Linked DNA regions of Styela clava. The protein of the gene in region 2 interacts with the protein of the main gene of each other region in a pairwise test. Links are inferred from orthologs where the notes say so. Each region holds a gene or a part of one and is shown on either strand. Other genes may lie near its edges. The genes, in order: syntenin-1-like, chaperone Ric-8A-like and prenylated Rab acceptor protein 1-like.

Region 1 (10,624 bases), on a different chromosome or scaffold from region 2:
CCCACATCCTACTTAGAGTGAAAACAGACGAAATGAACACACTTCAGCTGATAACCTATCCCTGGCAAGTTCTGGGCCACAGGCTTCTACATATTTAACATTTTATTATTTTGAAAATTTGTATTGCAAAAATAACTAATATTCATTTGTTCAAATGACTGCTAAAATGTACTGACATTCAAGAAATGGAAAAGCATAGAATCAATTCGGAAGAGGTGCTAAATTTTATCCTGGATCTACAGCTTTGAGACAGGAATGTGTCAACGTAATGCACACAGACACAGGTGCAATCATAGTTGTTGCTTTCGTTGCTATTTGAAGGTTTTATTTATTTCTTCTGCGGAAGACTCGCCAAGTGACGAAAAATTGACATAACTATGTTTCCTCTAAATGTTTTAGAATTATTGCAAGAATTATTTGTTTGTTAAGCTTAAGTTAACCGGGTTCCACATATTTGCTGGACACAGAGGCGTAGAATAAAGCACTGCTGCAACCTTGACTTTTACTATAATTCTATCCATAACAGTTGTTTGTCTTCATGACCTGAACAATAAAAATAAAAATACAGGGTTAAAGATAGTATATTGATGAAGTGCGCTAGATATTAAAGAAGCAAATTTGACCTAGGCAATGACTAAAACCGAATGATTTGTATTCGAATTTGTACAGATTTTTTGTATTCTGAAATGATAGTTTTGAATTACGTAAAATCCAATGTATATTTAATTATATGAATTTGGAAAAGTAAAACAGTAGAGTATTCTTAGTTTTCAGATATTAACTCTTTTGTCTTCGATTGTGATTGCATGTCGAACAACTTTGCTCTACTCTAAAATCATGTGATACTAGTTTTGCCTGCATGTAAAAAGAAATGACTAGAATAAAAGTATCCTCACACTATACGAATAATACAGAATATACACACAAATTAAAAATAATTTTCATTTAACAGCTGATACTACATAAATTTAGGACAGTTCACATACAAATAATATGGCATTTAAATAGTGACAAACTCACAAATTTGCTCTTCCAATAGAGCTGATGAAATTGATCATCATCATGGCACTCAGACAGTTTACTTGACTTGAAACAGCTGTAGAAATAAATGAAAAATCAGAAAACAATGTTACATTAAAGAAATAGTTATGATAGCATGAACCATTGCATTCATAATAATAAGTTATTGGCAATATATAGTTATCAATATACTCATTCCTGCATTTGGTGAAATTCATGGGCATGGTACTACAATATTCTAGTTTCATTTTATATAGCAAGAGTCAGAATCATTAATACCATAAATATCGTACATATGTGCATACAGCATACCAATAACATGCAATATGATTTTACATTGGTGTATATCAAAATATCCACCCAACCTGCTATCTATTCGCTTCTCGCCTATTTTTTTTATCCAACTTCGGGAACTTGCAGACTTGTGAATTAGCCGATGACAAGATACATACACCGGGGTACAGTGCAGTAGTGATACATGGATATCGTAGGTAAATCTCAGTTCAGCTCATACACAAAATATAACCAAGAGGAATATTTTGGGCACTGGTAGATCTAAATATCTGAAAATATATCATTTTTGTTAAAACATTTTGAAGTTTATATTACTGAATTAGGACTAGGAGTATCTGTTCGACGGTACCACTGCGCAACTGCTTACCAACGAAACTATACTAAAATACTGGGCCCTATGTCTGTTTATGACAAGAACCAATATAGCAATATACTACTGGTACAACTGTAGTCTACAATCTAAGCTAAAATAAAACTTCACAAAAACTGCTAAGAAAATCAAAAAAACGCAAATACAGAAATATATCAATACGCCAGGTACCGTATGTATTTACCTTACTAGCCCAATTCCCCGTTGTGAATACTTTTGTTCGGGCGTAGTACGGTAGGTACCGGTACAGCACAGGTACCACCGCAAATGCTACATATCGCAGCCTCGTGGTACAGGTATACAATTATTTATTCGTCGTGACGCTTGTACAGAGCTCCCTGCTACTCCATTTGTCGCCCCAGAATATAATATAGATTGTACGGTAAGCGATAACATCCAACACGACAAGCGCCGCAATCCAAATGCACTCGACAAACCGAGTTAAACCACCTCCAGACCAGGTTTAAAAAATCGCCGATTTTAAGTCGAGATTTACGTCACAGAAAGTTAAACCACCTTTTTGATCCGGACTTAAACCGCCGATCCAAAGTTAAACTCCGATTCGAGGTTAAACTACCTTTTTGATCCCCACCCTTAGAGTTGATGAGCTAAAGGAGAGCACTTGAATTTGATCTCACAATAGATGATTTTGATTGGCTCAATATTTCACCTTTTCGGCGCAGGCAGTGTTTTTTAATGTTCAGTATAAAATTGGGTAAATTTAGCGTGTTTTGCTCATTGTAAGATGGAATTTGGGTAACGCAGATCTAGAGCAGGAACGTACCCCCTGGGTGCGGATCGGATCCCCCGCCCACTTTAAAATATAAAAAAAGCATTTTTATGTATTACAGCAATTTTCGTAGCATGAAACGCTCATTTGACCGTCAAGAGTATAGAGACTCTTGAAAAAACACGTTTCACCTCAGAAAATTCCTGATTACGCCTCCGACCTAGGGTCTGAAGAGTTTTTTTAGAATTTCAAATATTGATTACAAAATCAAAAAAAATTATTTTTTGAAGACGACGCTTACTCGCGCCTTTTGCTCGAAGCAAAGCCAGATACAAGCATGAAGGAGCTGTCCACAAACTTAATGCACTGTTGAAGTTACACGAGCGCACAATTTCCACTTGGATGGTTTATTTGGAGCAAGAGTTGATAGCGTTCCAAAAACCACGAAATGTAACTGAGACGACGGGCGCACTGATGGCGGGATCTCCACCCTTTATAGTAAAATTCATGGATGTTCATATTTCCTAAAAAAACATACATACAAACCAATAATAGAAATAAACATTTAATTCTTGCTATAAAACAAATTTAAGGTAATGGGGATGCTTTTGTTGTTTTACTTTTACCATCAAGAAAGGCAAATTAGCCAATCACATTATACTCTTCCAGAAAAAGACTTTTCTAGCCTTTTTACCAGCAAAATCATTTTTAAATATTATCAAAGGCAATCGCTTTCAAAATCTCGCTTTCTATAGAAAGCATTCACAAACTGTTTTTTGTGAGACCGCAGACCGCAAGTGTTTAACTTTATTAAAAAACAGTACAAAAAATATTAATCTGAATTTCTGAAATAAAGCAGAACAGAAGAATTTAATTACTAATGGTGACATAACGAAAATTTATTAAATTTACCATGCACAACAAATTAATATTAATACCTTAGTAATGCCTTATATAATATTGCTCAGACGATCACAGTAACTTAGGCTTACTCGTCCGAACTACTTTAATAAGGTATATTGGGAACATAATTAAAATTCGCCGTATCGAACGACAATTCATGGCCATAACGGCAGATCGGACACAAAAGTTTCCCAGTAACCGTTGGTCGACGGAAATTCCAGCCGTTTCGGTTCAAATGATTACGAATTAAGTATGGGATCGTCTAAGCCCTGATTATGGCATAATACCGTTGAAAATCACGGGTTGCTCTGAAGGTTTTGTGCGTTTATTTTAAGCATGTGTAGTCGACTTCAATGTTCGTGTTTGTGCCGTGCTAATATCTTCTTATATTTATCTGTATGATATTTCCCAGGCCCGGGGTTTTAAACGGGCCTGGACTGCGAAAACCCGCGAAGTGTGAGATCAAATAGTTTTAGATCTCTTCTCGTCGGGAAAGGCTGGACGTCGAGTGATTTTGAGTTGTGTTTGCTGTCATTATTGCTGTTTTAAGTATATAGTTGCCGTACAATAAACAACCAACTGAAATCTTGAAACTTTCGACTCATTTACACACAAAACTTAAACTGTGACACATGGTTGGAATAATCCGTATTAGTTGTGAGCAGGTTCAACTGAGGTTTTTTGAATGAGGCGAAAATGTTATACGGGTGTCAATGAAGTCCCTTTACAATTTCAATTTTGTTCTGGAGTCAGTTCTCAATATATATATTTTACCCAGGCATGTTGTTTTTTAATCAGCAATTGTTTGAGTATTTTTACTTCATTTAATTAATACATCTGTGAAGATCATATATGGCATCGATAAATTCCCTTTGTGATTTAAAAAAAAAGACATCCTATATATTGAAAACAACTTTTGCTCGGTGCTATATGATAGTTTATTTATGTCTGTTTTTTTTTTTTCAATTTATTTATTTTTATGTATTTCATTTTTGCGATAGTTTATACACGACATAAGTATTTAAACGTGTTTCGATTAGTATATAAGGACATCTGGAACAACTTACGGGTTATCTGTCCCATGGCCATGTCCGACACATGATATTTAGATCCGTCGTATGGGCTTTACGATACTATCATGTCACTGCTCCGCGACTAATTTAATCATCCATTTTGATTGATTTCGTTATTTTAAGTCAGGTTTGGATGGCTGAATAGGTTATTGGCCCACTTTCTAATCGATCCCAAGCAGTAGTGGGATTCAAATTTTTCGTCAGCCGGTTCCATCACAAAAGTCATATTTTTCAGCCGGTTCCGTTACAAAAAGTCACATTTTTTAGCAAATAAACCAGTAATGCTAACCGGTTCGCTGATCTCATTAAATTCAGTGAGACGGTTCTATAGAACGGATGCGAACCGGCTGAACCACGGATCCCGAATAAATAGCCTATTTGTCTCATACAAATGAAATCAGAAGCAAGGCAAACAGATCAGAATATGAGCAGTGGAGCAAAAACAGTGCCGTCTTTGTCGAACTCGGGGTATGAAATCTTCATCAAGACAAGTGGTTCTCAAACTTTTTGCGCTTCAATTTTAGAATTTGTCAAGTCTCGCACCCCACCTCAGATACAAATACCAGATAGTAAGGCGAAAGTATGTTTTATTCAAAATCAATCAATTTTATTTGGTCACTCTGGTTTAAACAAAACACAAAACAACAACAAACGGACAATATGCCCCTGGAGGACGGGCATATTAACAAAAAAACACATTGAAACTACTTGGGTGGAAAGTAAATATCCAAAATAAAGTAGGCAAGATCAAATCAAATTTGGGTATTTTTAAATAAGTTTTGCGCCCTCTAAAAAAAATTGCCTACGTGCCCTCTGTGTGTGGGACGCTTCACCATTTGAGAACCACTCGTCAAGAAAAAGCAAACCGGCCTACTCGCTGATTAACACGGGCAACCAGGAACAAATCATAGCGAGTGACGTACATTGTCCCGTGAAAAAAAATCACGTGCTCTCGCTACGCCTGGTCACGAGAACATGACGTCATACGAGACAGAAAAGAAACAAAAATCTCGAATGAACGCATTTTAAAGATTTTGTGTCGCGGCTTCTGTTGCGTTTTATATGCCATGTTATTTGGGTTTTATCAATTCATTTTTGGGGGAACAAAGATAATGAAATGGCATATAGTTGAATAGGAAATATGACAAGCAATGGCTTCTCGTTGAGTTGCCAATTTTAGTTCGTTCGTAGCAGTTGGAATAGCTTTTTACTCTATTCTGCTAGTTCTGTAGTTAGCAATTCCAGACTTCAGAGAGTTGCCATTCGTTTCCATACCTACTAGTACTAAATACTCCATTGAATACACAGTCAGATAGTGGTACAGTAGGAATACTGTCATAGGACTTACGGAGTTAAGATAAGCCGCAAGGGAATTTCATACGGCCATATTTTCATTTAACATTTAATTTGCATTCTTAATCACATCTGCATACAGACATATGGTTGTATGGTACCGGTATGGTACGGGAAATTTCAGAGTATTATTACGGTACATCAGTACATGCTTCCGTTTTATTAATGCTAAGTTGGCCGTTGCTATATGGGGGACAATACCGTACCGTACCGTATGTTTTGTATCAGCGAATACAGCAGTCTGGCAATAGGTTGCTGCCAATGAATTTCTTCATTTTTTTTCATGATTCTGTGATTATAGATAATTTGCTGCTAGTGGTTATTTGTACCTTATGTAGTTCTGTGGTTTGTTTTCGCTGGTTGAATTTTAATTTTTTCATATAATCTATCCAAACTGAACTGCCAAATTTTTTTTGTATGACGACTTAATACGACACTTTGCCCGTGCGGCGCCAATTATCAGGGAAAAAACTCTTGACGAAATTATGTGAAAAAAAATGATGCTCTGCGATATCTATATAAATGCTTCATTTAATCAGTTTTATTACTATTCACAGAAAATACTATTTATAATTTTTACATATTTTTTCTGAATAAAGAAGCGAAAACAAAATGTCTCTCTATCCCTCACTTGAAGATATGAAAGTGGACCAAGCCATCAGGGTAAGAAGTTTAATAATTTTTCATTAATTAAGCTTTTTTTATTAAGATTTGTTTCGGGGTTGTTTGTTTATTGAACTGTCTATCCTTCATCACGCATTTCTTACCTGCAATACTTCTAGTGGGTGTAGCATAACAATTTTCGCATATGTCAATCCTAACCCCCACCTGACTGCGTCATCCAAAAAGTACTCCACTATGACTTCACAGTGACGTAGTAACGCCCTTCAAACTAAAAGAACTGTCATCCAAGATGCGCAGACGACCACCCAATCGATCAAGTTATTTTTTTCGTTGCAACCATCCCTAGATGAAGGAGGTCGCTGTCGTTAGTGAGTTCTTTATCATCAACGCAAATGCCATTTCGGGCGATCATAGGTATACTTTGGCAAGCTCTATGACGGTATTGTGATGTCATAGTCCAGTCTGGATTTCATGGCCTTTTTGAACGAGAAATTGGGCATGTAATCAGAAATTCCTGGAGTGCAATTATAGCTCACGGTGTGCAAAACACGTCTTACATTCATTAGTCGTTTTATTCCTTTATCTGTGGACAAGCATATAAGTAGCGATTTTAATGTGCCTGGCAAGATTAGGATTTTTCTAATTCAGCCTTGTTTTTAATTTTATTACTCTGATGTACATGGAAAGCATTGGTTACCATGGCTTACTTAAAAGCAACGTTTTATTTAACTTTTTTCTTTTCCTTCAACTTATAACCAAAGTAAATATTTACTAGGTAGCCTTAGCACTTCCTTGTTAGGTTGCTATTGTTCTAGACATTCAAATAGTCAAATACATTTACATAGTCAGTTATTGATTTGAGAATTTTGGATATTCACGTATAAGTTTTCTTTGAAAATGTAGGTACTATTAAAAGTCATTGACATGTGATGATTATGCAAAACAATTGATTTCCCATGCTATGAAAATAGAGGATCAATCAAAACAATGCATAATGCATTAATAAACTTTTTTTTGCATCATTGAAATGGATTACAATTTTTATTTAAACAAATATATATATATGCACACTGTATATACTCGCCGATAGGTTCGCGCTATTAGTTTTGTGTTCAAAAAGTTTAATTTAGAGTTGACTCGCACATAAGTCGCACTCAAAATCTGCGGATTTAAAAGGCCCCTTCCCTAGCTTTTTTGCATAGATAACTTCCTATTTTATTTTATTTTTGTAGGGCTTAATATAATTAAAATATGTTTATCGACGCCTGTGAGCGATAATGAGTGCATGTACGCAAGCGCAGACGATACTTGGTGGCGATTTGCATTTATGTCGAGCGGATTGGTCGCACGTATATTTTTTAAAGAAATATACGGAAAAAATTGCGGCCTATCTGCGAGTATGTACGGTATATAATAAATAATATATAGACTCTCAGATTTGAATGTAAACTTGCGGGTTCACGGTTGAAGGTTGAAAGGCCTAAAGGTTCAAGCATTGAACTATAATGCCTGGTATCGCATGTTAAAAACTATGTTTTGAAGCGTCATACAAAAAACGAAATTAAATTTTGGCAATATGTAGTTTTGGCAAGAGATATTGACAAGACCTTGAAATGTCTATCAAATTTTCCTGTGTGAACAGCTGTTTGTTTTTCTACTCAAGAACAATATGAATAAATGTTTCATTTGTGTCTCGTTTCTTGAGTTTTTTAAAGTGATGTCTAATTCCAATGATTGATTTGCTATAAAAGATATTATAACCTCATTGATTGATATGCACATTCATGATGTAATAACAGCAAATTAATTGACACAATGACGAAACAATAGACCACCGACAAAGATCAGTTCATGTAACTTGAATCAAAATACAGTAGTGAATGAGAGCTTTGCAGTTGACTAGTAGAATTATTTAAGATCTGATAGATTTGATTAGTGTAGCAGTAGCCTACTGGTTTAATTTTCGGACAGCAAATTCTTTCTAGTGCAAAATATGATAAGACACGGGTCACACATTTTGTTTATTACTCTTCCTTCCTTGTTATCTTATTATTATATTTCCCTGATGCCTTTATTTATGGGTTCATATCGATGACTATGGCCCTATTATTTTCTTGCATGAAGTTTTGGTGAATTAGTGATACAGTGGGATTGTCTGTCATATATTTGCTTTGCTTTGAGATGTCAACCAATAACTGACATGTGACAAATCTATATAGATAGACCTCTGATGCGCCAGTGACTCGTATCAATTCCACGCACACCCACTCAAAAGTAGACTCATCTCTGAGCAATGTTATGGCAACTGCTGAAATTCCAAAGAACTTCTAAAATTATATAGAAATATGGTGGTGTGTTACGCTTCAGCGAATACCGCTTGGCACAATACTTGAAGTAGTTCAGGTCAATTAGATCTGAAAAATGGTTATGAGAAAGTTTTTTCATTTGAATTATTCAAATTTTATCAAAAAAAAAATTTCAATGTTTCTTCTATTCAGGCGCAGTCTCAACATAGAGATGATCACATGCTGGCATTGAATATGCAACAACAAGAAATGGCCGCGGCAGGAATCCCACCTCAGCAAGCAGGTTTGTTTAACAACAAATTGTCTCTGAGCAAAGTTAAGGTCAATCACTCAGTAGCAGTGTTAACTCTAAGCGAATTATGAGTGCGAAAGTGCTTCGCAGTCGAAAAAAAAAGTGCGAAAGTGCTTTTGCCGATTTTAACAAGTTAGGTGCCCTAGCCTTTTATATAACCCATTTAAAACAGCATAGATACTCGAAAAAGCTCTCCTCTGGTTAATATTATGAATTAAAGAGAAGCCTTTCCGTTAACCGAGTTCCCTTTAAGCGAATTCATGTTTAATTAAAACAAGCAAATTTATCGGCAACGAAAGGGCATCTGCTAACACCTGCCGCGGACAAAACTTTCATGCAATGTATCACGGTGTCAGTTGTTTACTTGCGTGAACAGCAAAGGCTTTCACATTTGTTACTCCTTCCATCTAACAGACAACGATTGATACATGCAGGATGGAAACCATATTAGTTACAGGGTGGATCATTTGTACAAAACCTGTGCAAAATAATTCCCCCCCCCCCCCCCAATATAAATAGCAATCAACTAATTACGGTTAGGTGCCCTGGAAATTCAACTTTTCGATTTATCCCTAAACCTAATCTGATAATTATTAATTTGTGATTTTGAACCACTTTGAAAGTCGCCACCCGCTGTTGTAAGAGATAGGTTAACCTACGTTCCCTACGAAATATTACGCAGGATACTCCCCTTTTAGGAGATAGGTTGACCTACTCTCCTTTCAAACTTTTTTCTTCGAAATATTACACAAGATCACTTTGAAAATCCTCTCGTTTCGTGAGCTAGCGTGACCTAGTTTCTCATTTACATTTATATTATACTATTTCAGAGCTTACCAAAAGACCAGTAATTCTTTAATGTCGACATGCCTTGGTTTGCGTGCGATTTCGGGCAGAAAACATCATATATTGGCAAAATGTTTAGTAATGCCATGTACTTTCAGCATTCATAAATAGCACTCTTTGTAATGCTGCTGACCTAGTATCAAATATTCGCATCACAACGCCACTTGCGAGGTTTCCATATATTCCAATTACACTAATAGGAACGATGACACCAAAGAGTTTTCTTTTGCGAGATACACGAAATATAACGAGGGTGATTCTTGAAAAAAACATGGATATAGAAAATAAAGGAATGATATGATAGTGGATCCCAAATAATTTTGAGAGCGTCTCGAAATACCAATCCATTTAATAAATAATTTTTATTCAACCACATGAACGCTGATATTCTGAAAATTAATGTTGAAAGAGAAGTACGCATTCTCAGATATCGGACATCCAGTCGCGATATTCAATCGTTTATATGCACAAATCTCACATTAATAGTAATTGCTACCCAAGTTTGTAAAGTTTAGAAACCAACAAACAGAAAATAACTTACGGTATTCTAAAACACAATTAAAAATCAGTTGGCAATAAATTGCGCCGAGATGATGCCATACAAAACGAAAAAGGTTTGGTCGCGAGAGTTACGTTAGATGACTGCAAAACGACGTTGTTTTTTAAACAGAATGTAAAACAATCAAATAAAAAAACGGGGGTTACGACGCCCTTAACACATCGTCTGTATTAAACTTCCCTGGTAAGTACTTTGGTAAGTACTATTATTATTGTACTTATACACCTGTTGGAGTATTTCGGACAGTTTCGAAT
Region 2 (10,341 bases):
TTCGACTTTCAAGTGGCTGAAATGATATTTCATCCAGAAGAAAAAAATCTTCGAAAATCAGGAATTTATTATATCAATCAAATACAGCCAATATAATACATATAGAAAAAATTTATGAAGGAATGCAGAAAAAAATCGACTGTGTTTTTCCGAATTCTGGCTTCTGAAAATTTAATTTTTTATTCTCCCCATATTTAGTTGCCTGGATTTTAGTGTAGCAACATGCATTTGTCTCCCAGAAAAAATTGTTAACTGAATTAATTTACAAAAACCAAGTACCAGTAAGGGCATTATAAAGTTATATTTCATTAAATTCTTCCGTATTATAATTGCGTAGACTTGGTGACAAAACACGACCATACACTGATAAAGAGGTAACTGCTGCTGCCGCTGGTGCAAATATTCATGAATTTATATCCGGTCTTCCTGAGGTTTGTAGTTTATTTATTTATTGTATTTTGCAGTCTTTTAAGTGTTTTAATACTGCTATTTACCTTTTTGAAATCAGTTGAAGTTCAAAATATTGAATTAACCTGAGTTTTGGCCGTTTATCATTTGTTTGCTGTTTTTCGATAGCTTCTGATTGTTTTTCATAGGTAATTGTATCGTAAAATAACATAATGCACAACTTCATGTTGAGACAGGAAATTGCCCTTATATTATAAATTTATTAATGCCTGTTCCTACAACTTTTCAAATGGTCAGGGTTACAATACAAAAGCAGGTGCAAAAGGTGGCCAACTGTCTGGTGGGCAGAAACAAAGAATTGCTATTGCGAGAGCTTTATTGAGAAAACCAACTATATTATTACTGGATGAAGCAACATCAGCATTGGATACAGAAAGTGAAAAGGTATTATGTTAAACTATTCAGCATGATGATTTCATCCTTTTAGCATTTCTACCAAACTGGTTACTCCAAATTAATCTAAATATATTTGCGTTGTAATACACATAAAGAGATATTTTAAATGTAAGATGTCAAATTTTTGAATAAAATCTGTTTGCAGTTATTCCCAACTGATAAAGCGCTGCCGTTGTTAGTACCGTATATACTGTAATTTACCTCACTGATATGATTTGTAGTTTTGCGAATGACTGAATATAATATAAGACGTCTTCTTTAATATTTTTTGATATGTTTTACAGATTGTGCAAGAAGCATTAGACAAAGCACGGAAAGGTCGTACAAGTATCATAATAGCACACAGATTGTCAACTGTTAAAAATGCAGACATCATCGCAGTTGTTGACAAGGGCAAAGTTGTCGAAACTGGAACACATGAAGAACTTCTAAAGAAGCGAGGCGCATTCTACAGGTATAATCATAACATAGACGCCTACTTGCTATCAGCATAATAAGCGTGGTTTGAATTTTAATATTGAGGTTCAATATTTCCTTCTTCGTCAATATTAATAATTTTACTGAAGTAAAAAATTTTGCTGATTAGAAATAAAACTTCATTTTGGAATTTGGGGATAGTCAACCATGTATACTTATGATGTTTTTTATTTCATCTTTTTTACATTGTCCAAAGCGAATATTCGAATTTTTTATTTTTTTATCTATTAGTAATTCCATTTTTCATTTATTTATTCACGTGTTATGCTCATTGATTTTCCTAAAGTGTAAATACTAATTAGGGCTGTCCGTATATATTTGAATGTTATTATCAATCTGGGTTTGGGCCAGAACGCCTAATATTCTCTTGTTTCTCAAGTTTCAATGAAAATATTTCTCAATTCTCATTACTTTCCTTCTATGCAGTCCGCATTTGGTTAGGATTTATTATTATTTACTTGTCACCTGAACAGCTAACAGTCATAATTTTTCTTTAGAGGTCGGTCGATCTTGCAGTCTTGTCTGTTCTCTTCCGATTTTATTTCCATTTACTTTTCTTGATGTCTGTGTAGAATTCTTAAAAGACATGATGACGTACATGCCAGCTATCTTTAATGATACTTGAGTAGTATTTGTTTTGCATTTATGCCAGCACTGAATTCTATTTTCAATTAATTTTTTCAGTTTGGTCAATGCCCAGCTCACACATCAGTAGTAGGCAAAAGAAGCAATATTTTCTTCTGTGTTCACAAAAGAAGTCAGAAGATTGGATTACTGACGAATGCGTTCAGAAAACTTGCCATGAGCATTTTTTCCCAAAGTTTTTTATTGAGTTTTTTCTTGTTCTGCACCATCAATTTTTTGTACCAAAGGATCCTTTTTATACACGACAATGAGTGGTTCATACAGTATAAGTGTTTCATTTTACGATGGTGCTCGACTCTCGTTATATAAATATGTTCATTTTTCTTTACAAATACTTAATGTTGAGGTTGTTATGTTTTTAAATAAATGGCTTTAAATAGGTAAATATCTGATTGGGTATACATTTCGTCCTTTTACTGAAACTTTATCAAGGAAAACAATGTTCTCGCAATAATTTCCAATATTTTTGCCTTCAAAATAAGTGTCAAAACTTTTTAACACATAGCACTCAGATATTAGAGCATAGGTTCTCAAAGTGCTCCGTACAAAGCCACAGGGCTTCGTGAGAGAAAACTAGGGGCTCCGCGAGCAATTCGATTATAGATCGGCTAATTTTGTAACAGTCCAAAGAGGCAATAACAACAGTTGAAATGAGATTTGGCAACTGAGCCGTCGAAATATGGCAACAATGCGGAAATTCGAATATATATATCACATTTTCTATAAGCAGGATCGCAGCCAGGATTTTTGAAAGGGAGGGGAAGGCCAAATTTGGGATCGAAAATTTCCACGCAACCTTATTCGCGATTAGGCAACTCGTTGAACAAAGACTTTTCAGCGGATAACGAGTTTTCTGTTGCATAAAATATTCAATCCGTGGCCGATGAGAACGTTTATAATGTCTTGTCATAGTCATTTAATTGTGTCCATCGTAGCTCGCCTTTGAGTTGAGATTTTACTATCACGATAACTGAAATGAAAGATTATTTTTTAAAATAATATCAAATACGTGCTAAACTTCCAACCATAGATTGATAGGAATCGTATTTTTGCGATATTTTGATTCGTCGAATTTGTGTTGTTTTTTCAATCCTCAAGATTATTTTAAGCAAGATATATCGCCATTACTGAAATGAAAGATTATTATTTTAAAATAACATCAAATACGTGCTAAACTTCCAACCATAGATTGATAGGAATCGTATTTTTGCGATATTTTGATTCGTCGAATTTGTGTTGTTTTTTCAATCCTCAAGATTATTTTAAGCAAGATATATCGCCATTTTAAAAATCCCAAAGTCGGCAATTCATGACCGATGATGTCCATTGGCTTAATTGTGTTGGATGTAAGCTGTGGTTGCGTCAACTTAGGACTACATCATATCATTTACTTATTGTTTGTCAAGTTTTTTTTTTACCCTTCTTCCTCCTACCGCTGATTTCGGTCACTCTAACCCCGTGCTGCTTCTCTCCTCTTGGCTGCTCTTTTCGCCAATTTCCTTCCTATTTTTAACTCGTTACATTTTTTGGCCTCGCTGAATCCACCACTCCCACTCGTGTCTCCTATTATCTCGTGATTACTATAATTGGCTTCGCTGGATCGCGCTTCTCTCCTCTTGGCTGTTCTTTTCGCCAATTTCCCATTATTAACTTTTTACTTTCACTCGTCTACTCGCTGATTGTTATTATTGCGCTCCGCTCTGATCGCTTGGCCTTCTGGCTTGATGTATTTTCGCTCATTTTCCGATTTCCATGGCTACGCCTTGATTAATTCACTCTCACTGTCTCTCTCAGTGGTCCCCTTGGTGATTTCTATTTTCGCTCCACCCTCCTGATCCGCTTGGCCTTCTCCACTCACTCACTGGCTTCTATTTCCTTTTCAACTCTGTTCTCGTCTGCCCTCTTTACCCCTCGGCTGTCTGTCATGTCTGCTGGTCCATTCCCTCAACTCAATCTACCGTGTGGGGTTCGAACCAAAGTCGTAATGTTTGATCGTGTTACTACGTTTCCCCTGAGCTACCGCTACCGATGAGGATAGGGTGGATTAGAATCTTAATTAATTAACGACGTCGCGCGTCAGCCTATGACGAGGCTAATTACCCCTCAAAAATTACATTGAACATGCTTCGTTGATTCGAAGCAGGTGTATTCATACCTCTTTTGAAAGCGTTCATTTGGGACTATTGCGTGCGCTGCATCAACTATTGAATGTGTGAATATCCCAGCACAGCAGGTAAGGTACCTAATCAAATCACTTAAATTTTCTATAAATGCAAAAACTTTTATCTTGGCTAGAATATCTTATAAATTAACTTATCCCTAGGCTATATGTGTGCATCTTGATAGATAGATTTTATTTCGATTCATTCGCAAAAACAAAATAAACTTATATATATACATATACACACGGCTGTCCTATTATATTGGTTCCCCTTATTTTCAGGATAAATCAAATATGAATATCTTTCTTTTTCTCAAAAATTTATTCGCTGCTTGATTTAGTGACCGTATGGTCCTTCCAACCTCCTATCAATTCCGTTGTTAGTCGATTTATTCTTCTTTTACTTATTGAATGTTGTTGTTTGTGTTTGATTTGTTGGCTAATGACTGGGTGATGAATAAACTTCTATCTATCCATCTATCTGCTCATTCATTGTCGCTAAGTTGTTTCTGCGATTGCATTCTCGCAAATGTTTGTTTTGCATAACGCCAGTCGCAAAAATATAAGTATAGGGTTAGTATTCGCGCAAGAGTCCGTTTTCGTCTGGACCTTTTTATTTGGTGTGGGAGGAGGCTAGTTACTGAGTTACCGTATGGTGTCGGTACGGGTGCAGCCGGTATATTTAAAATTATCAAAATCTTTTTATTTAGTTGTATACCGTACCGGTACAGTTCTTCAGTACGTGACACACTTTATATATTCAGATTGTAATTACGGTACCGGTATTTTATAAAGGTCAGGCGATTGCCGTTGTTAAATTGAATACCGTACCGGTACCGGTATTGATTTCTAAACAGTGAGCAGCGAAGAAAAAATAATAAGTTTCCCGTATTAAAAAAATATGGCCAAGCTGGTTTTGTATGAAGTCTCCGATTACAGGATTAGTCTACCACATTTTGTGCTTTCAATTGCCGGACTCTGAGAGGTTCTGGTGCTGAGGTAAACGTGGATATATGTAATTTAGTAATCTGTGAGCGTTTAGGATGCCTTAACTTACCGTATAACACTGTCAGAACGCCAGCCCACACTCGTGTGACGCTAGCCCACACTCGTAGGATGCCAGCCCACACTCGTGTGACGCTAGCCCACACTCGTGAGACGCTAGCCCACACTCGTTTTTGACAGGCCATACTAGGGGTAACTGGTCCGTGCTTGGTATTGCATTTGCGCTGTGTATATCCAATATGGTCTCTATATTGTCATAGCCACCAAGTTTTTATGTATTAACGTTTATAAAGTGGTAAAATAGTTGGTTGACCCATTGACGTCAGGCTGAGTGTGGGCTGAGCGAGTGTGGGCTGGGGTAACTTTGGTACCGAAACTGCTTGAATAATCCCAAACAGAATGTGATGTGAAATTTTTTTTTTAAAGTCTGTCTAGGACGGAAATGAAATACTTGACAGATGCGTTTCTGCGTTTAGTTAAAATAAAATCCACTCGATTTTCAACTAAGCCAGTACAGCAGTATATTCCATATCATATACCAGTAGGGTATGGGCAGACTATGTCGTACTGTAAACTGAAATAGAGTACCATATACCAGTAGCGTTCTGACTCAACTTCTGTCCGAGACTACTTTTATTATAAAAAAATAATAAATATTGGACTTTATTTTTTTTACATCATGTTTTTTTTTTTGGTTGGCATTATTTAAAAACTTGCTCCGTGTACTTCGTTAGACTCCACGTGCCCCACACCACATATTTTTATCCCCATTGTTTATAGCGCAATAGTTCTGTACTTGGTATTCAAGAATTTTTCTCTGTCAGATTAAATTCATCCAGCAGTACGGTGCTTATAACTTTTAACATATTGCAGTATTCTGGTATAGAGAGATCAATAGTACTGAACTAGTTTCAATTACTTATTCATGTATTGGGTGGTGAAAAAATCTGATTAACTCATTCTTTACCACCCAGTCATTAATAAAAGATTTTATTTTGAATCACTCATTTGGTCTATTATTTATGTTTTGTGTTTCTGGTTAGTGGTTTAAAGAATAATTAAGTTGTTTATCTCTCACAATAGGTGTATACCTTATGTGTGAAAGGATTATTAAGAAATCCTCCTTTCATAATTATTCAATATACAACTGTTCAGATCATTACTTGTACTAAACTATACTATTACAGTATTAGTGATTTCCTTCATTTAGTGTGAACCACAGTCTGACAATGGAACCTATTAATGGATATCCTAATACTATATTATCTGAGAATGATACTGATAAATCATTAGAAGCATTAAAAAAGTTCAATGCAAAGAATAGTGGCGCTTTCATTTTTGGCAAAAATGACATGCAAGAAAGAAAACTATTTGTCTCACATTTATTGGATATTTTAAAGTCTTCTCTGGATGGTGAAAGCACCTCAGAATCTGAATATGTGGTGGAAAGCCTTTCTGCTCTAGTCGTAATGTCTAGAGATCATATGTCAATGAATGGAAGATTTTTGAATCGAGAAACATGGAAGATATTGACAGTGATTGCTGGATTACTGGATAAAAATGGGAAGGCAATGACGGTCATCGAAACGTCTAAGATACTGTTTACACTTGCTAGTAAATGTCTATGCAATATCATGTTCATTTCAAAAGATTCGCAAGGTTATTGTTGCGACGATGAACTTATAAAAGGCATTTTGCAACGTTTGAAATCTCTGGATCCCAAAGATGAATCAAATGATACTGAAGTTGAATTTTTAACACTTCGATTGCTGTTTCTCGTTTCTGTGCTCAATGTGCAAGCAAGAACAAAGATTATTGAAAACCACGAGGGTAGCCGAGTCTTGTTGGATTATTTGAATTCGAAATTGACATCATCAAAAAGAGTTGTTAAACCTACGCCATGTATCAGAGCTAGTATTTCTCCTGCACATGCAAAATCCTGTTGTGAAATATTAAGAACACTGTTCAATTTGAATCTGAAATATCGGCATGAAGAAAGTCAAGTAAAGGAAGAAAGAATTACTATTGAATTTGAAGATTTGACATCAGTTTGTCGTAAATTGTATTTGGTTCAAGCAGGTGATGACAAAGTTTTGACGGAGAAATTACATGGTGACGCAGGAAATTGTTTATACACTGTGCCCAGGTCTTGTTTACTTGATGATACGATAATTCCTTTAATTGACAAGTATGACCCTGATGATGTGTTTTCATACAATGGCGAAGACATCCCGCAATGGGAGGAAAGAGATCTCAGTGCTGTTTTGAATATTTTAAAAGAAGTTGAATTGAAGATTCACAATAAGTCATTGACAACTGAAAGCTTGCAACCTGTTCTTTCACTGCTGAGCCACATCAGTCGTACATCAAGATATGTCAGAAAATATTGCAAGAATTACGTTATCCCACCACGTAAGGATTTTGAGCATCGTCCTGAAGTTGGACCAGAATTTCGTAATAAATTGATAAAGCTTTTCACACATGCTAACACAGAAGTAAAAGCGGCTGCTGCTGATTTTGTATTTGTCTTGTGCAGAGAGAAGGTGGAGAGACTTGTTAAATACACTGGTTATGGAAATGCTGCGGGATTGCTTGCAAGCAGGGGGTTACTCGCAGGAGGCCAGGGAGACACTGTTTATTCTGATTGTGATTCTGACTCTGACACAGAAGAATATTTAGAAAATGCAGAGAAAATTAACCCCATTACTGGTCACATTCCACCTAATATTCCCAATCCGATGGAAGGTATGTCGGAAGAACAGAAAGAATATCTTGCTGTTCAATTAGCAAATCAGATTTCGAAATTGTCAAGTGATGATATTATCAAACCTGTATGTATCGATCCAGATACTGGTAATCTGGTTCCTTTTCAACAAAAAGTCCACAATATGCAATTACCAGAAGAGAAAGATTCTGATGAAGACATTGATTGAAGATTACAGATTGACATAATATAAGCTTTTGCAGCAAATTTTCTGAACTCATCTTCCTTTAAATAACTAACAAAATATTGCGATAGGAATGGAAGTTCATTATTTGAGAATAATTTGTCTTTATTATTATATCCTGGGTAAAACTTATGTTGTGTGAAATGCAAAACTAACCTCGAATAAAATTTTGGACACTATCTTTTGAGGCTGATATGCCAACCATTGGCACCTTGGAGGCATTCCTGTATCTTAGTCCAGCTTTAACTGTGATAGTTTTGAAGCAAATTGCTATATTTGTAAAAACATATTTCAAGTCTGTACATTTTTTAATGCATATATGTAATTGTGCCCGTCTGTTGCCCGTTTTCTCTTTTGTAATTCTATGTTTAATGAAATTTTATGCTGCATTCACCAAGTTATTTGTTTTGAGGGAATCATGTCTGTTTTAGTAATCGTTTCTTATGAATTTAGTTTTATTATTTGAATAAAAAAATTTTCTCTGACAGTTGTTTCAAAATAATATTCATGTCATTTCTTGCAATATATTAAGTCAATTAATGCGTCACGTATGCTACCAACTTTCCTAGAAAAATGCTTTTTAAGCTATATGGAGTACTAGAATTCTGTGTAGTGCATCGAGTATTTGCATTTTGTTGCGATATTAGATTAAGAACTAAATTCTGACATATCTTACACAATGTTAATTTCTGTATATTAGCCAGCTTCTGCAAAATACAATCATGATATGTATAAGTTGGCAAGATTTTTTGCTATATTTTGTATACAGTTATAACCTATTCTTTTGTAAGGTGTTGTTTGATCATTCGTTTTTGCCTAGTAGAGATTATTGTCCATGGGAGTCATTAAGTTTTTTTTTTTTTTTATGTTTATGTGTTGTATCATTGTTTGAAGTTTCAAATTACTCATTTTACAAATTGCTCAATAGAACAACATGGACAAAGATTACAGTCAAGCTCGCCATCAGTTAAAAAAATAACTTATCGAAGGATGATATTTCACTTTATGGGGTTATTTAAATGTGCAGTCTTTTCGAAATGGCTATATTGTGATGTTATGACTTATTTTCATTATATTCAATATATTCAGATGTTTTGCTGTTTTTCATCAATATTTTCTACATTTATGTATATATAGCTTCCACATGTTCTTCATGTAACGTATCTTTTTTGTATTTTTGTGATATTATAGCAGGATGGAAAAAGTTAATAAAAAAGTACAGCTAGAATTTCAAAGTCACGTTTCTGAATTGCAAAAAAATCAAAAAGCTATTGGCAAGTGTGTGAAACTACGACAACAGCTTGAAGCTCAACTTACAGAGAATACTCTCGTACAAAAAGAGTTGGATATTCTTGAAAGTGATGCCACTGTTTATAAGCTTACAGGTCCTGTATTGGTGAAGCAGGATTTGAATGAAGCAAAAGCGAATGTGAAAAAACGAGTTGATTATATTACAGAGGAATTTAAAAGACAAGAGAAAACAATTGAGGATTTGGAAAAGAAACAAGAGACAACAAGACAAGCATTAATGAAAATTCAAGCTTCGCTTCCAAAGCCAACTGGAAAACAAGTAGCATAGTAAACAGGATAATTTTAAAACTGAAATAAATTTGTAGTGAAATATATCCAATTTGGCTTACAACCACATTTTTTTTTTCAATTATAAATTTTTTGTGTTTGCTGCTAGAAATCTTCAAATTCAATCTATTTGAAGAATGAGGCTGGAAGAATACAGCACAATCTTTGACTTTATCAATTACCACAAATCTAATTGTCCAAGAACAGTTCTCTCTAATGTTATTTCAAACTTTGGGTCTCAATATCAATATCATACACTAATGAGTATATTTTTGACCTGTTTGCAACGAAAAGTGAAAATGACGTACCACTCAAAAATGAAAGAAGAGAAATTGAAATATTATTACAAATTATATAAAGAACGAATGAATATCTCACATCAAATGAATCATAAACAAAATGTAGTGAAAAGTAACAAATTACCCGCACAAAATATAGAACAAACCTCAAGTGAAATTGCAAAATTGTGCAATGGAAAAGAAGCGGTTTCGAATGGCACTGACAGTGGTTCTTCTGATGTAAATGGCAAATCTGTATTGATTGGTATTGCAAATGATTTCGAAATTCCACCTTGTTTAATGGCAAGAATTATTGTAGAGCAATACCTCATTGAAGAAAAAGCTTCTGCTAACAACAAAGAAAATTTTGCTACGGGAACAGTGA
Region 3 (10,225 bases), on a different chromosome or scaffold from region 2:
CGTTCCTGTGCTAGTATGTCATCTTTTAAATTGTTGCCAATTTTGTAGAAAATAGTCTGATTGAAACAAGTCGGTATTGGTAGAAATGCAGGAAGGTTTAGATAGTGACTTGGGGTGATTTAATTTTTTGCTCAACTTAAAAACTTAAATGGAAGTTCATTTGTTAATGTTGTGAGACTTAAATTGCTCAAATTGATAGTTTTTTAAATGAATTTGTTCTAAATTATTCCTTGAATGTCAAATATATTTAAAATAATAGTTCATATTGGTTGAAATTTTAAACATCATTGGCTATAACAAAAATACTAAAATACCTTAAGAGATTTGGGAAGAATTATAAATATAAATCCAATTAAATTATGTTGTCTGGAATGAATTATAACATTTAAAATATGGTGAATTCTTTTTTTGTTATGTACTGCTCAGATTGAATTACATCCTATTATATTTCACTGTAAATTACCATGAAACTATTTAATATTATTATTTTATTATATAAAATATCCAAGTTCATGAGATAAATGGATGATATAACAAGACATCTTGAAGGTGTTATTGATTTAAGGCAGGATATCAACATGACAGGATAATGCTGTGTGAGCAAAGTTACCAATTGCAAACTATAGTTTGACATGGAACACGAGTTTAGTAGAAAGTTATCAGATGTCGTTTATATCAGGATTTCCCTAACTTGGGTCCACGAACCATTGGGGGTCAGCAACAATATGAAAAGAGTCGGATCGATCTTTAACGATTGATTTCAATCAAAAAGCCACTGCATCTTTTTGGTTGAGCGTTGAGGACGAATACCGGTATACATTGCTGTCAGAAAAGGGAATAATAATTGTATTGCCAGTTGCAACGGCATACATGTGTGAGGCAGCATTTTTAGCTCTTACCAATATGATGACAAAATACAGGTCGAAACTCTAGGTCCGTCAGAAATAAGATTCACTAATGGGTTCGCGGCCCTAAATGTTTTGCGTTTTTATTACTTTCAATGACCACCTGAAATATTCACCTCTACAAACAATATTATATCAGCTCTAGATTATAAATTTGGCAAATGTGTTGAATATAGTTGGAATTCAATTATCACCCAGAAATATTAATACAAGCCTAACTGTACATTTGTTTTTCTAATAGTCCTGTGAACAAATTTTTCAATCAGATATCCTGAGCCTCCGCGATGTGAGTTGACCAAGGCTTTCTTCAACACTATATGTGTGTGCTCGAATAACTATATTCGGTGTCATATTACTGGAAGTGTCTCTAATGAATGGCCTCAACTCATTTACATTAAAGCATTTGTCATGCTGTCCCATGCATATATGTGCTTCTTCACTGAGATTATTACCTCGGTCTAGACTCCAGATCACAACCTGCTGTTCCATGCCTGTATGCAACACCTCCCAGAGATTACCTTGTATTAGCAACAGTCCGGTAAATACATAAAGCACCATTTATTCCGTCAAATGAGAATTTACAATGTAATATTTGAAACATCACCCCAACGACATTCTATTGCTCACCATATGAAAATATTACATTAGTCATATTTACATATTACTAGTAGTCATTTGATTTGCACCCTATTGCACGATTTACTTCTATTTCATCTTCATGGGAATAAGGTACAAGCAAGATTGGGCTCCAATATTCAATAAAATTTGAACGCTATGTACTTACTAGTTTTGTAGATTCCAGGGCAGAGCAGTCGTATTTGGCATCTTTTTATTAATATGACGAAAACGGAGTCTTATTTCCAACCCTCCTGAGCTAGAGACAATCTAAAAATTCCAAATTCTTGGGGACCGTAATTTTAGATATGTGAGCAAGTCAAAATTCCTGACAGAGAAAAACATAAGACTAAGCATTTGGCAGATTGAAGGTTACATACGCCGCCAATTTTCGAGGTCAAAAGTCAAACTTTCTTCAACCTGGAGCTAGATTCATTTTTAACAGCTCCAAGTTTGTAGTTTAACCTGGCTACACAGAAGAAATGCAATCCGACAGCATTCAATAAATAAAGTTATCACAAATAAGAAAACATGGTCAGAAACTGGTATCAGTAAATTTCTATAGGAATACAATCAATGACAAAAGCCACTGTAAAAAATGCTTCATAAGGCTCAAATACATTTTGTGTAACACAGATTTTTCCTGATGTGAAATTAACTAACAAATTTATAAATAATACAGAGATAATAATAAAACTAATTTATCTCAAAAGTTTTAAATAACATTAAAAGCATGGTAAATTTCACAGATCATTTTACACAGTTTCCATAAAAGGTTCTTCTGGCTTCGCAGCTTCTTCCGGTGAAATATGAAAAGAGGCATGAAGTGCGACAAGAAAAAATGAAACCCCTGAGAAATGAAAATGAAAAATCAGTTATCACTTCAGAGGGTCCGAATTCATGGGAAAATGTATATTATTCAAAATTGCTATAGCATGGCTAAAACTTATTTGGGCGCTCCAGAAGCATGTGTACCAATATGGAGGTAACTAATTTTGTTCGCCCACTTCACATCAAGTTGCGTAAGGGGACGGAAGTTGATGGGCAGGGGGTATATTAACATGGCTAACACAGACAGTCCCCAAACTCGTAATAAAACTAAAATAGGGAAAATCGGAATAAAATTATGCTCTAACCCTAACCTGGTACACACACTACGAGATTGCCCTTATTCGTCCAAGGCTAAGGTTTATATGAACTCTATTTACTGAAATTTGGTAATAGATGCGTTAATACATATTATGCATTATGACAAATTTTATAGATAATAATTTTATTACATAGATATGACTGAGATATATAAGCTCTTTTATAGTTTAATACAAAAAGACTTGAGATTCTAGATAGGTCATGATAGTTGTTATATTTGTTTATGTCGTGCCTCAAACCTCTTTGAATAACACAATTATTCACAATCCTAGTAATATTAATTAATACAAACCAACTCACCAAGAACCCAAAATACAGCTGATCCAGCTCCAGCAATAAAAAACAAAGGAAATGACAAAGCAGCAGCAATTCCGTATTGGTGTGCATATGATAATTCATGTCCTATAACAATGAATAATATCCGTTTTATATTTATGAAATGTGTTCAATGTTATTTGTGAATTTCTTCAAACAATTGGACTACACAAATTGGACTCCTATTAAAAATATACCTGTTTATTTCAGTAGATGGCGCAATATGGTTTTATAATTAACGACTATATTCACACTAGCTGTTCCATGTATGAAATATTCATTTAATCCTGGATAACTCTTTATTAAGCACTGTGAATTTTTCCCGAAATGCAGCAATTTAACAAGTACATAATGAATTTCAAATTGGCAATTTCTCATGATAGTTATATATAATGAAATGATTTTCAGTCAATTATGTTATATTTACAAACATTCAAGATATGAGAGAATAGAGATGTATTCTAGGGTTATTAAGGTTTAAAACTCACCAAAAACTTTTATTTTCTGCTGTTCGTTCTTAATATGAATAAGATAGCAGGCGCCAAGGAAAACTGCAATTGCAATCAGCATAAGTGGTGAAGTGACTCTAAAAATTAAGGCAAACTTGTATTAATGGAAAAATTTGGAACTTATACTTGGACATGGAGCATGATCCGTGCCGACATCTGATTAGCAACAATCCTTAGTATAAGTTTTGGATTTATGCTTAAAATAAATAAATATACGGGAAAGAAGAAAACGTCTCACATGCAATAAATTATCAGTCCGATGAATACGAACAAATAATTGGTTTGATAGTGTTCAACATTTTTCACAGCACGAGCTGACCAGCCTTTTACTCCTTTCGGTGTGTTGAAATTTTTTGTATTGACAAAATCACTCCATGGCCTCACAGATTGTCGACGCTGGTTGAGCCATTCTTTGGCGGCTGGACTATTGAGCGAAATCATTCTGAAAAACAAATATGCATATTAAATTTTTTCGTCATTAAATTGTAAAAATTCAATGTATGTTTAAGATGAATCTATTGGCCGTTTGCTGGATTGGCGAATTAATATTAGTTTATTTTTTTATTCTCTTACTTTTCATGCAATGATACGTACGTATTTTCTTACTGTAGGAATGGCTGGTTATGGTACTGGAAGGCTACAGTATCTGCTGATCTGTGTGCTAATCACATGCATGTATGTTTCAAGTCTCCAGTCATATCATTTTTTTTTGTCTCGAGCTAACACAAAAACTAGCCCATATTACCACAAATTTTCCATATAGGCTACGGTTGCCTATATTCTATAAATTACTGTAATTTGTATTCATACGGTACTACTGCATTACAGTACCATATTCTGGTATTAGATGAACTTGCATCCAATTCCGACATTAAAAATTGCAGAATCAACGTTAAACAAAGAACTACGGGTACAGGTCAAGCCAAGACATAGAAACCAAATCTGACTTACTTGGTGGACAAAGAAATATTGCCAGTTACCTCTTCTGTAGTAGACATCTAAAATATATCTCCTAGAGATAAGATGACAGTTCGAATTACAAAATTAGGCAAGTAGGCTATCGTAATAAAGAGAAATAACGTTAACCAATTTTGCTTCGCCACGTACTGACGTGTTATTGTTGATATCACCCTCAGGCATTCTGTCCACCCGGCGACGCTAAAGATTCAATGGACTATCGAAGCTTGTGGCCCAGCGCAATCAGTAGTGTATTTCTTTCATGTTTATCCTAACAAAGGAAATAAAAAGCCGACAAAACGGCTAATTTCAAGTTAGGAAGTGAAAATTAATGATGTACAGAATTTTGTAGTTTCCTGTATCAAATCCAGTAACTAAGAAGTAAGCTGTTATGAACACGAATAAAAAGGTGTACACAGAGTATTCAGAATAGCCAACAACTCTAAAATCAGAATTCGAACGCAAATAAAAACGATTTTATTGGACAGCAATCGTGTATTGCATCGTCTTGTTAAATTTGTGATAAGCCTTAATAATGTAAGCTATGAAATGAACTAACCCTCATCGTCTATCCACTGTTTTTATATTTGACTATCGGACGGACTGGTCGGCCTAAACCTCGCTGGTTTTTATTTCCACTACTAATGGGCTTTCTGCTCCAGCTATCCTGAATGATTTTTCTATTTTATTTTATTCCATGATGGACGGACGACAAAGGCAATCGCTGATTTTACTATTCTCATCTTAATTTATCTTGTTTGTCTCTTCCTTGGGCCTCACTGATTTCCATTTTTACTTAATTCCTTTATTTATTTTATTGTAACACTAGCGGATTGCTGCATTTTTCATTTATTCCGCCTGAATTGCTTGGTAACTTTTTTCATTCTATTTAGCTGTTTTTTTCATTTATTTCCCCTCTTACTGCTTGTGGCTTGGCATTTTACTACTTACTTTCCGCCTTTATTTCTTCCCTGAGCCTCGCTGCTTTCCATATTCACTCCCATCCTCTATTTGCTTATATCCTTGCGGATTGCTGTCAAGTCAAGTTTGTTTTTTCCAACCACTAAAAAAGATATGTTTTACACTAAATACGAAAAGAAAATTCTGATTTCTATTATTCCTTATTTTCAATGTCAAACCTGATCTCTTTTATCACTCCGCCGTGATCGACGCTAATTTTCATTATCGCCCCGTTTTTACAAACTAATCTCATCGGACTGCACGGGGCTTCTTGCTTTCCTGCTTACTTGCATGGCCTGCTGCTGGCATCGTCGGCTTATATTTCCTTGGCGGCTAGCGACTGGTCTGGCTCCTATTTGCTTTCGTTCTTTCCATTTCTACTCTTCTTGGCTGCTGCTCTCGCTTGCTCGTCGGCTATCGTTCTTCCCTCGAACGCCTGTCTTGTCTGCTTCTCCATTCCTACAACTCAGTCTACCATGTGGAGTTCGAACCCACTTTCATACTTGTCCGGATGTTGGATCTTATCCCTATGCCACCGCTACTGTTGATGATCGGGTGGATCAGAATCTTGGCAGATCGCGCTTGGCAGCCCACGACGAGGCTAATTATCCCGAAAAATTTACATTAAACATACTGCGTTGTTTCAAAGCAGGTGTATTCATGCTTGAATAGAAGGCTTCATCTGGGACTATCGTGTGCGCTTAACTATTGAATGTGTGAATATCCCCTGTTATCTCGTTTTTAATTTGTGGTTCATTTTAATTTATTTTTCACTGGACTGACTGTCAATGGAGGATAAGAGAAAACTTGAAGACGGTTCATCAACTTGGTCATTGTTGTCTCTTGTGCTAACTGACCGTCTTATCTCTGATTTACTGTTTCTAAGTTTATAAAACATCTAAAATTAAAATTGGCGCGGCGGTATGCTCTTACAGATTGAAACCATATCATACACGCTAAAAACAAAAAAATAACACCGTAAATTTTGTCCTAAGAGCCAAGCGACAATTAAAACATACTAATGTGACAACCCGAGCGCTGTCGGTCTGTCTTTTGGTGTCATGTTGGCTGGACTGGGGTTTGCGTCTGTGGTTGTTTCGGTTGGATTCCGGTGTTTTGGGGTCATTTTCATTTATGTTGGTTCTGTTGTTGTTCTTCTCTACAGTTACACGACAGCACGAAACCGATGTTCGACGATGAACAGTAACATCTTGTGACTGTGAACTGTGAAGTATAGCAATTAACAAGAGTAACGAGCACAGGTTGTCGTTGCCAATGGCCGGTCTGTCCCCAACAATGTCCAAAACACCGCGTCTTTTTCGATTGAAGCAGTTCAGAGCGCCAAATGTTTGCCGCAAAACAACTTCTGCCTTCGCACAATCTTCTGCCGTACACAGCCCACCGCCTCGCCAGAATCAACACACGCAAGCCATCATAAACAAATTCTGCAAATCTATTCTTCATTCAAATAATTTCTTTTAATCGAAATTTGCAGATTACGATCACATTTTAACCATTGTCCAAGTTTCGGATTCCTTCGGGCCAGTCAATGCGGCCACAACTCTGTACCCTCCATTGTGAAGTTTGCTCAGAATTAATGGGGCAGATAAATTCGAGAACTTGTACAATGTGGATTGATACTGAAATAAAGTCAGATATTAATCGATCAAGCACTTAGAGAATTAGACTTAACTGCGTTAGTATCGCAGGTTACAGATCTCAGATTCAAATCCCATGCCCCAACGACGGATAGCGTGTTATAAATTTGGTAGGTAATGCCTGGTCTGGTCCTTCCAAACAAAAGTACTGTGTTTCCCCCAAAATAAGACCTAGCCTGAATTTTAAAAATGATTTTAAAATAAGCCCTCCCCTTAAAATGAGACCTAGCCAATAGCGCGAATTATTATTTTTTGACTCATTCGATAACAAGAAATCTCTTCTGCACATTTTAAATGATTGATAATCTATGTTTCACAGTTATTTTGACTAAAAACGTGTCATGGGTATAGCTTTCCATATTTTGTATGTTTGATAATCTCGTATTTCTCTACTTTATAATTTTGTTTTCGATAAATTAAAATATAGGACATCCACTGAAAATAAGCCCTAGTGTTGGAAGAAAATTGAAATATGACCCAGTCTTATTTTCGGGGAAACACGGTAGTTCCTTGTATATCGTTAGATATAAGTGGCTGTTTGATTATTTTCCAACCAGTAAAAAATAACATACGAAATTGAGGAAAAAATAAATAAAATTCAACACACATTTTTACTGTGGAAGGGAAACTGTGGGAAACCAAAACTAGTCATCAAACAGCGACACCCAAGGTTCAATATTTAATTAAATTTGTAAGGTCGAAAATTAAGTTTTTAGAAATCTGTTATCCTTGGTATGTAAGGCCTTGTTGGGCAAACGGCATGAATGAGCATCGTATATATATAAAAAAAATTCAACGTTACATTATCGCAAATCTGTGTCAGTGTGTTTACATTTTATTCATCTGAATACTTTGTTATTGGTATTTTACCCGGCGCTTGGCGTATCGTACTGAGCATTAGGAATACGGACCTCTGATTACCATGCGCGGGTTCGAACCCAACGGGGTAGACTCAATGACGGGAGGATTGCTAAACCCGCCGACGTCGTAGTCTGGTTTACGTAACACCTGGTGGGTTATGACTTCCTCCATCAAGTCCATGCAACCGTAACAAATCAATGCTGGATTTATATGGAGATACTATATCTTGGAATGGCCGGAATCTTCCTAGTTCGGTGTGGACTGCCAGTGTTGGGTAGCCCCTCGACCTCGAGGCTCAAGTCGATTTCAATAACTAACTGAAGTCTTGCTGACATTCATTTGTGACAGGGGCTTAGCTAGGGATGATGGTCGAAATCCCTTTTGAATGTGAAAAAAAAAATTCTGTATCATTCTGTTGCCTCCCCAATTTATTACATTATGTTTGAGGTGAACCCTAGGCCCAGAATGTAATATGAATAACTTACACACTATTCTTTAGATGGTTTAAATTGATCCAATCCGATGCTTTGCATCAACGAGGAAGCCTCGGCGTCAGTTGTTTCAAATTCAATTTTCAACTTCCATCCATATTTGCGGGAAAATTTCACGATTATATGAGACATCGCTTCAGTTCTAAATCAACTACGGATAGAAAGTAGTTTCCCCTATAAGTTGGTTGGTAGTTATATAAAAATGACTGACAAAACACAACACAAAAACTAGTTATAAAAAGTAAAAATTCTTACTCATTGAAGACTATATCTAGTGGTGGCATTCGGGGGTGTAATTCTGGGATGACGAGATAATCAACAACTCGTTCTCGTTTTTTTTTTCGTTTTAGATGTTAGACAACCGCAGAAAAGAGTGGGGTTGGTAACGTGATATACATATACAGCCAAAAATATCCATATAGCGCCAACTACCAACTGTATTTGTATATTGAGTTGGCTATATATGCATATGACTTGGTAGCATATGTATAAATGGGTTGGCTCTATATGAGTTGGCGGTATATGCATATTCTTGGCAGTATATGCATAATTGGGTTGGCTCTATATGAGTTGGCGGTATATGCATATTCTTGGCAGTTTATGTATGACACGTTACCAACCCTATCGGCAAAAGTGGGCTACGTGCATCACAGATGACGGCTAGCGTTATATTTGACATTTCGAAAGTTATGTATTAGATTAGTACCTCGTTAATGTAGCCTATGTATTGGCACACGTTAGTAAATTTTACGTACAATTATAAGCTTGGTGTGGCTTCCTGGAATGAGGAAATTTGTTGTTAGTTAGTTCGATACAAATGGGAACTTTGCAATTTTGAATACCATCCACGTACGTAAAGAAATGACAACACAAATCTTTAGACCAGGTCTCCAACAATAATGATTCTATGAAGGCTATGTTCCGGGTGTCTCAAAAATTCGTGTCCCACATTAGTCCCAATTGTATGAATCTCACTTCATGCTATTACTGTAATCTTCTGCCTAAAGCTTCATATCTATCCCAACCCAAAACATATCATAGATCCCAATTCATATGCTTACTATAACTATTTGCCCCACAGTATATATCTTTCCCCCATATAAGCAGCCACAGATAGGCAGGGAAAAACTGTTGTTTGGGATGACCGAAAACTTTTCAGTTCGATACGTAAGACTACGTTATATTAAAAGAAATATGATCGTCGAATATAGTGTCCGTTTCCATACATCTCGGTGTCTCTCAGACACAATAGAACGGCTATTAGTGTAGTCGGAGATTGAAGCGATCGGCCCGTTAATGAGGACAAAGTATGAGGCGAAATTTCTTTGTTTTCTCTGTTATGTTTTGGCAATGTAGCCTAGCTACGAAAACTACGTATTCAATGGTGTTTTGTCCAGACTAGAGCATTGGTTTTCAATCAGTAGGCCATGGTTCACTGCTGGGCCACACAAACATTTCCACGTGGGCCACAAATCTATTAACAATTGTCAGAGCAGTAGTTTCATTTGTGTCACTATAGTTAAAATTTCGATTTTAGTAGCAATGAATGATGATGCTGTTTTTTGCTACAAAGCGCTGACTTTCATTGTAATTATTAGAGTTTGAAAGAATTTTTTGTTTCTATTTGTAGTTTTTTCCTTACAATAAAAAAATGAATAAACCACAGACTTTTTGTGCAGCGAAAATGGACTACTAAAAAAAGTTTGAGAACCACGGTTCTAGAGAGTGAAATATATCTTTAGTTAGAGTTAGACCCGATTTTAGACTAATAGTAATAGTTTTGCCCGAATTGCCGAAATTCAATC

Evidence for each region.
Region 1: the proteins of chaperone Ric-8A-like (region 2) and syntenin-1-like interact in binary tests that used the Homo sapiens proteins (3 or more experiments, as listed by UniProt). The link is inferred for Styela clava from reciprocal best matches to the Homo sapiens genes RIC8A and SDCBP.
Region 3: the proteins of chaperone Ric-8A-like (region 2) and prenylated Rab acceptor protein 1-like interact in binary tests that used the Homo sapiens proteins (3 or more experiments, as listed by UniProt). The link is inferred for Styela clava from reciprocal best matches to the Homo sapiens genes RIC8A and RABAC1.

What each region holds. Positions count from the first base shown.
Region 1 is NC_135263.1:830,030-840,653, forward strand, and holds the start of syntenin-1-like, read left to right. Parts: upstream 1-6,265; 5' UTR 6,266-6,355; coding exon 6,356-6,406; intron 6,407-8,865; coding exon 8,866-8,956; intron 8,957-10,624. UniProt on the Homo sapiens protein: Multifunctional adapter protein involved in diverse array of functions including trafficking of transmembrane proteins, neuro and immunomodulation, exosome biogenesis, and tumorigenesis.
Region 2 is NC_135252.1:15,383,304-15,393,644, reverse strand, and holds chaperone Ric-8A-like, read left to right. Parts: upstream 1-6,300; 5' UTR 6,301-6,381; coding exon 6,382-8,085; 3' UTR 8,086-9,291; downstream 9,292-10,341. Other genes in the region: ATP-dependent translocase ABCB1-like, read left to right, coding at 338-431, 706-852, 1,149-1,318, 2,026-2,056; uncharacterized protein LOC144421013, read left to right, coding at 9,296-9,679; uncharacterized protein LOC120343245, read left to right, coding at 9,816-10,341.
Region 3 is NC_135253.1:18,935,535-18,945,759, forward strand, and holds prenylated Rab acceptor protein 1-like, read right to left. Parts: upstream 4,636-10,225; 5' UTR 4,492-4,635; coding exon 4,445-4,491; intron 3,936-4,444; coding exon 3,732-3,935; intron 3,571-3,731; coding exon 3,473-3,570; intron 3,072-3,472; coding exon 2,970-3,071; intron 2,371-2,969; coding exon 2,276-2,370; 3' UTR 1,449-2,275; downstream 1-1,448. UniProt on the Homo sapiens protein: General Rab protein regulator required for vesicle formation from the Golgi complex. May control vesicle docking and fusion by mediating the action of Rab GTPases to the SNARE complexes.